Danio rerio: one gene and its partner. The protein of the gene in region 1 interacts with the protein of each later gene in a biochemical or structural test. Links are inferred from orthologs where the notes say so. Each region holds a gene or a part of one and is shown on either strand. Other genes may lie near its edges.

Region 1 (3,820 bases):
TAAATTATCAAGTTTCTTTTAAAGAAAAAATAGTATGCATGTAGAATTATGGTGTTTAACATTTTATGAGAATATTTCTGTCACAGATGGTGAATTGCTGATCATGATTGGTTATTTTACATATTTTAAAAAATCATATTTGTTATGGCCTTAAATTAAATGATAAGTTAATTCAATTCGCTTTTCAGGTCAGACTTTGTGACATTACCCTTCCAAGGAACAGAAGTGCTATTGGACAACATTGCCCCACTACCAGGTGCCTTGTTTTAAATGTCATAAGTTGAGTTCGTCATCATTTCGCTCTATCTAGATCTCACTGTTGTTTATGTCTTCATTAGGAGAGGATCGGTTCTCAGCAGAGGCCAATTCTGCACTGGAAGAGATGACGAGAGGGGTTCCATTGCTGGCACAAGTGAGTCTTTAAATCATTCATTAATGCATGACATTTATGTTGATGCTGTTTACAAGTAACATAATTTAATGGCCAATTTTCTCATGCAGGTCACCAACTATGACAATAATACAGGACTTCCTTTAGTACACATGTGGAACATGGTGGGAGAGGAGGTAAAAATATCTGATTTTACATCCGTCTACATGTGCTAATCTATCTCCTCTTTACACATACACACAGTAGTCAGCAGCTGAAGTGGATATATACAGGGCTTGGATGATGAAACTGGAACACTGGCCAGTTTAGTGTTTGCGGTATTATGGCTAAAATTGAACACCCTAGTGACTAATCTTCATTGATGGCACATTCCACCAGTAAGAGCAGAGCGTGAAGGTTTAGTAAGCAAAGAAAAGGTTACGTTTGTGGGACAAATTGTTGGTCCTTGCCTCTGGTGTATCTGACCAACACAGCAAGTCTTTGATGTATCAAGAGCCACAGTATCCAGGGTAATGTCAGCATACCACCAAGAAAAAGAGCCACTTCCAACAGAAGTAACTGTGGATGCAAGAGAAAGTTGTCTGAAAGGGATGTCTGGGTGCTAACCCGGGATTGTATTCAAGAAACAAAATTAAATGTGCATCTTCACTCTCCGTTTTCACCTAAACTGTTCGTCAGGAGCTCCACAGGGTCAATATACATGGCCGGACTGCTATAGCCAAACCTTTGGTCACTGATGCCAATGCCAACTGTCAGTTTCAATGGTGCCAGCAGCGAAAATCTTGGGTTGTAGACAATGTGAAAGATGTATTGTTCTCTGAGTCCACCTTCACTGTCTTTTCCATATTTGGGACAGTTACGGTGTGGAGAAAGAAGCATACCACCCAGATTGTTGCATTCCTATAGTGAAGCATGGTGGTGAATCAGTGATTTTTTTGGGCTGCAGTTACGTGGCTTTCTCTAGGCCCAATACTTGTGCTAGATGGCCGTGTCATTGTGAAGGACTTCTGAACCATTCTGGTGGACCATGTGCACTCATTGGTTCGCACAATGTATCCTAAAGGTGGTGCCGTATATCAGGATAATAATGCACCAATGCACACAGCAAGACTGGTGGCAGAGTTCTTTGATGAACATAAAAAGTTGAGTTGAACATCTCCAATGGCAGGCCTGCACAGTCACCAAACTAAATGTTATTGAGCCTCTTTGGGGTGTTTTGGAGGAGTGAGTTAGGAAAGGTTTTCCTCCACCAGCATCACATAGGCTACGTTCACACTGCAGGTAAATGTGGCACGAATCAGATTTTTTTTCCCCCTCATGTGACAGGTGATGACAGTGTGAACAGCCCGAACCGCATGGAATCTGATCTTTTCAGGTCAGATCTGTGCCACTTTCATATGTGGTCTTAAATCAGACACAGATCTGATGTTCTGCACTGCGACCGCAGTGTGAACGGATATGTTGGATTTCATGTGACTTTTACACAATCTTTGAGTGACATGCGTCATCATTCTGTGCTGCAGACATCATCTACCTCTCAGCAGCACAGTAGAATGGCACACAGGGCGATTACAGTACCACAGAAAGTTGGTTGTTCATGTTGAAAAAGATTTTGAAGGCATAACTGGTGCTTGTTAACTAATCTGGTTAACGATTGAGGCACGGGTTGATTGCGAAGCCGAAAAGCGTTGTGGGTGTTACAGATAGGGGATTCGGGTGCAAATGAGGAAGAACTTTCTCTCCGAGAGAAAAAAAGGGCAGGTGCTCGAGCACCCAAACCGCCCTTCTGCACGTGTCTGCTGTTTATAACGAAGTAAAATTAAGTAACTCCTCAAACAGAGATAAACCAACTCTGCCTTCACAGCTCAGTCTGCGGCTGCTCATTAACCCTTGATGAGTTCACTACACCTGTGGTCAGAGCGCCACGCACCGCGCTTCATAAATCACAAACGATCAGTGTTTTTTTTTTTTTTTTTTTGTTTATCACAGGAGACTTATTTTAGGTCTCAATTGCCGAAATACACATTAGTAGTGGCTGAGCAATCATTTACAGCTCATGAATTAAACCACGGTTGTCTGTGAAAAGGGTAATAATCATATAAGCATGATCTGACAACGTGCTTACTCATGCAGCACACACAGGTGCATAATTTTGTGCTCTTTGTAATGCACTTTTGCGCATGCGGGTCAGTTTAGGACCATGATCTGTTCACACTGCAAATCTGATATTGGCCACATTTATAAGAGCAGTGTGAACAGCCATGCAAAAACATCAGATCTGAGCAAAAATCAGATTTAAGCACTAAGCCTCGTAATGTGAACGTAGCCATAGTGACCTGACTACTATTCTGTAAGAAGAATGGCTAAAAATCCTTTTGGCCATGGTGCAAGACTTGTATCTGTCAGTCCCAAGACAAATTAATGCTTTATTTGCTGCAAAAGGAGGTCCTGCACCAATACTAATGATTTATTGTGATTCAGTTTCATTCAGTCCAACCCCTGTATGTGTATATAGATGGATGATTATTTATTTACTTTATTATTGATATTTTTTTATTCTTTATTTACTTCAAGTTTTTTATTTGAAGAAATGTTTAAAGCACAGCAGGTTGTTTATCATTCCATATCTTTTAGAATGGTAAAATGTGATATAACTTTGATACTCCATTCCTTCTTTTGCAGCTGGTCCTGCTCAATCGCACTTTGGCAGAGCGAGGTTTCGGCACCTGGGTGGACAGTTTCTGATCCTCCAGAGCTCCTCGCCCTGCTCTCCTCACTCACCTCATGGCCCACCTGCCCCTTAATAATCACCACTCATGGATATCTGCAGGTTCAGTCCTGTCCTCTCCCACCGTGTCCTCCACCACCACCTCCTGAAGTGCGCATCACTGGCTCCTGGAATAAATTTTTTTCTTCTTTCCTTTTTGATTTGCTTTCCCCTGCATACAGCCTTTTTCTGTTTTCTTTTTTCATTTCTATCCCCCTTGCGTAAGAAATTTACTGTACGAAAAAAGAGAAAGAGCCAATCGTCAAGTTACCGAACAACCAATAAGGACTCAAGTGTTATTGACTTTGTGCTCTTGTAAATTTAAAATATTGTAACTAAAATAAAGGTTAATCATGTTTTCCGTCCAATCAGACTCCTTCCAGCACACACAAAAAGAAAAACAACTGTGGATTATCTTGCTGTGGATTTGAAGAACCTGTAGTAATAAAGTACATTGAAGAAGAAAACTGTGGTGCGGTAGAAACTGCGCGTTGTTGTTGCTGCTGCTGACTTGAGAAGTCATGTTTTGCGTCTATCACGGCTTCATCAAAGTGTTTCACTTTCCAGGCATGGTGGAAAGCCAGAACGTTTTGGCGAGGAATAAATGACCATAACTTCATGTCCTTCATCTCAATGTTTGTCTGTCCAACAGTGTGGCCTTA
Region 2 (3,456 bases), on another chromosome or scaffold:
TGTTGTGGTGTGTCATGTTGTGGTGTGTCATGTTGTGGTGTGTCGTGTTGTTGTGTTGTGTTGTGGTGTGTCGTGTTGTTGTGTTGTGTCATGTTGTGGTGTGTCGTGTTGTGTCGTGTTGTGGTGTGTCGTGTTGTTGTGTGTCGTGTTGTTGTGGTGTGTTGTGGTGTGTCGTGTTGTGTGTTGTGTTGTGTCGTGTTGTGGTGTGTTGTGGTGTGTTGTGTTGTGTGTTGTGTCGTGTTGTGGTGTGTCGTGTTGTGTGTCGTGTTGTTGTGGTGTGTCGTGTTGTTGTGGTGTGTTGTGGTGTGTCGTGTTGTGTTGTGGTGTGTCGTGTTGTGGTGTGGTGTGTCGTGTTGTTGTGGTGTGTTGTGTTGTGGTGTGGTGTGTCGTGTTGTTGTGGTGTGTTGTGTTGTGGTGTGGTGTGTCGTGTTGTGGTGTGTCATGTTGTGGTGTGTCGTGTTGTGTTGTGGTGTGTCGTGTTGTGTGTTGTGTTGTGGTGTGTCGTGTTGTTGTGTTGTGTCGTGGTGTGGTGTGGTGTGTCGTGTTGTGTGTTGTGTTGTGGTGTGTCGTGTTGTTGTGTTGTGTCGTGGTGTGGTGTGGTGTGTCGTGTTGTGTGTTGTGTTGTGGTGTGTCGTGTTGTTGTGTTGTGTCGTGGTGTGGTGTGGTGTGTCGTGTTGTGTGTTGTGTTGTGGTGTGTCGTGTTGTTGTGTTGTGTCGTGGTGTGTTGTGGTGTGTCGTGTTGTGTGTTGTGTTGTGGTGTGTCGTGTTGTGGTGTGTCGTGTTGTGAGGGTGAGCGACTCGTTCACTTGCCGACAGTAATACATGTTTCTGGCAGCGCAGCATGTCGTTTTCATATTTCTTTTGCATTGTTTGCTGATTTTATTCAACAAAACTAGCATAAGCCGAGTGTTTAGTGCGAGTTGGAGCTGCTTTGCCGTATGGTGAATGCAGTAGTGACTGTATTATCATCAATAACGTTACCTGTTTAGCACAAAAGTTCAGAACATGCAAAAACGTAAAAAACTTAATCTTACCTATGAAATGTTCTGCCTTTGTGCTTTGTTTTCTTTGTTTGCTCGTTACTACACCCGTAGACAGCGCTAAAGTCCCGCATCTTCACGTAATAACACTGTCTTGAATGACATTGTCCTGGGAGCACTGTACCAATGTGGCGGCACTATTGACGCATGCTCAGGCTCCCTATGCGATATCTAGTGTATATATCTATGGATGTCGCTGCCGCCCCTTTAAGCGTTGCCTGGGTGACGGTGTGTGTGTGTTTGTTCCGTCTTTCCTCTGCGCATGTGCACGCGAGAGTCTATCAGCGAGTCAAACATTTGGTGTCTGTCGTCCGCGATGGCGCATTACAGAGTGAGTAAACAACAAACAAACAAACACACACACAAACACAAACAAGCTAACCGCTGAAAGTCGAGCTTAGACACGCCGTTTAATGAGACCGGAAACGGAGAGCGCTGAGAGGCGTCCGCAGCTGAGCTCAGTCAGAGGAGCTGAAGACCCGCGCTGAAGGTTCCTTCATTCCTGTCTGCCTCAGGCGACGGTCCACACGCAGACCAGTGTTAAACCAGCGCTAAAGAAACGCGCTGCCCGTGTGTGTTTGTATGTGTGTTTGTGTGTTTATGTGTGTGTGTGTGTGTGTGTGTTTATATGCGTGTTTGTGTGTGGTGTCTGGAGCGAAGCGTCTTCTCTGAGCTGATGAGCTTCAGCTGGAGCTGTAATGATGAGTGTGGAGAGCTCCAGCGGTGTGTGTGTGTGTGTGTGTGTAGCTCACTCTGCTGTAGACAACACCGCCTGATGAACTGTTTCTGTAATGTGTGTTTCTCTTCTGTTTCAGGCATCCGAGTCGAAGCGTGAGCAGTTCAGGAGATATCTGGAGAAAGCTGGAGTCCTCGACAGCCTGACCAACGGTGAGTCCAGGCAGTTTCAGCCCGTGATGATGATGATGATGATGATGAATATCATTCCTCAGCGTGTGTTTAATCTGATGTCTGCGTTTCAGTCTTAGTGGCGCTGTACGAGGAAACGGAGAAGCCCAACAATGCCTTGGAGTATCCTCACACACACACACCCTCACCCCGCCATGTTTCCCGCTGTCTGCTGAGTTTGTGCTCATCTTTGTGAATAATATCAATGTTTTATTCAAATTCATGAGCGCTGCTGTAAGAGATAGAATAGCCCAAACTAGCCTCCTCCTATCTTAACTAACCCAACCTTAACGAGCCGCTTCAGCTTCATCAAGCATCATCTGGGGGTTTCGGGAGTGGAGGCGGAGGATGCGGAGAGTCTGCGGGAGGAGCTGAACACACTGCAGCAGAAACACCAGCAGCTGATGGAGGAGAACCAGGAGCTGAAGAGCAGGGTGAGCGCACACACACACACACACTCTTACACAGGTATGCTAGCTTTCTTACACACACATGCTCACTCACTCACAGACAGGTGTGCTTGTGTACTCTGTCTCTCTCTCTCACACACACATAGTGGCTCCCTCACACATTACTCTGCTAAACATGAGCTTAGCCAAATCTCGTGTGTGTGTGTGTGTGTGTATGTGTGTGTGTCTCCACAGCTGCTGCAGTATGAGCCGCCACAGGATGAAGCAGCAGCAGTCGAGTAGAGGAGCTCCAGCAGATCTGCAGAAAGTGTGTGTGTGTGTTGGTTTAGTGACAGGATGTTGAAGACCTGTTGATTGTTTCTGTTCAGCTTTGTGTCTGATGTTGAATAAATATTATTTTGCAATGATCCTGCTGTGTGTGTGTGTGTGTGTGTTGAGCACTTCACTGTTCCTCTTTACTGATTCTTCAAACTATACTCACATGGACTTCAGTTGAACGCCCCTGAACACATCCAGAACACACACACACACACACACTGCAGACTCCTGAGCTCTTACCATCACATCTAGAGGAGTGATGATGATCAACGGGTGAGATGGTGTGTGTGTGTGTGTGTTCATGCTAATGCCATGTCACTCTCGGTCTCTGGTCAGGTGCTCTAGTAAGCAGAGGGACAGCAGCACGTCTTCAGTGTGTGGTGTGTATTCTCCAGCCGGAGTAAGCGGTGTGTGTGTGTGTGTGTGTGTGTGTGTGTGTGTGTGGTGTAATGACTGCACTGCAGCTCCTGAGTAATGAACAGAGGCCTGCAGGATCTGCTCTGAGCACCGACACGTGTAGATGAGCTTTACCGTCTCCAGACGCCGTGTTCAGCCTCTGCTCATGTTAAACAGCTGTGATGCATCTTATTGTGCTGCAGGTGATCTGCTAAAGCTATGTGTTAGCAGAATATACAGGTGTCAAACTCAGCTCCAAAAGGGCCGCAGCTCTGCAGTTTAGTTCCAACCTTAATTAAACACACCTGATCAAACTAATTGAGTCCTTCAGGCTTGTTTGAAACCTACAGGTAAGAGTGTTGGAGCAGGGTTGGAACTAAACTGTG

The links.
Region 2: the proteins of akap1b (region 1) and mycbp form a complex in vitro, tested with the Homo sapiens proteins (2 studies listed by BioGRID). The link is inferred for Danio rerio from reciprocal best matches to the Homo sapiens genes AKAP1 and MYCBP.

Annotation. Positions count from the first base shown.
Region 1 is NC_133190.1:33,440,289-33,444,108, reverse strand, and holds the end of akap1b (A kinase (PRKA) anchor protein 1b), read left to right. Parts: intron 1-188; coding exon 189-256; intron 257-338; coding exon 339-412; intron 413-501; coding exon 502-567; intron 568-3,073; coding exon 3,074-3,136; 3' UTR 3,137-3,243; coding exon of another isoform or gene 3,244-3,477; 3' UTR 3,478-3,526; downstream 3,527-3,820.
Region 2 is NC_133194.1:32,941-36,396, forward strand, and holds mycbp (C-Myc-binding protein), read left to right. Parts: upstream 1-1,346; 5' UTR 1,347-1,356; coding exon 1,357-1,371; intron 1,372-1,855; coding exon 1,856-1,928; intron 1,929-2,020; coding exon 2,021-2,069; intron 2,070-2,250; coding exon 2,251-2,380; intron 2,381-2,590; coding exon 2,591-2,638; 3' UTR 2,639-2,763; downstream 2,764-3,456. UniProt on the Homo sapiens protein: May control the transcriptional activity of MYC. Stimulates the activation of E box-dependent transcription by MYC.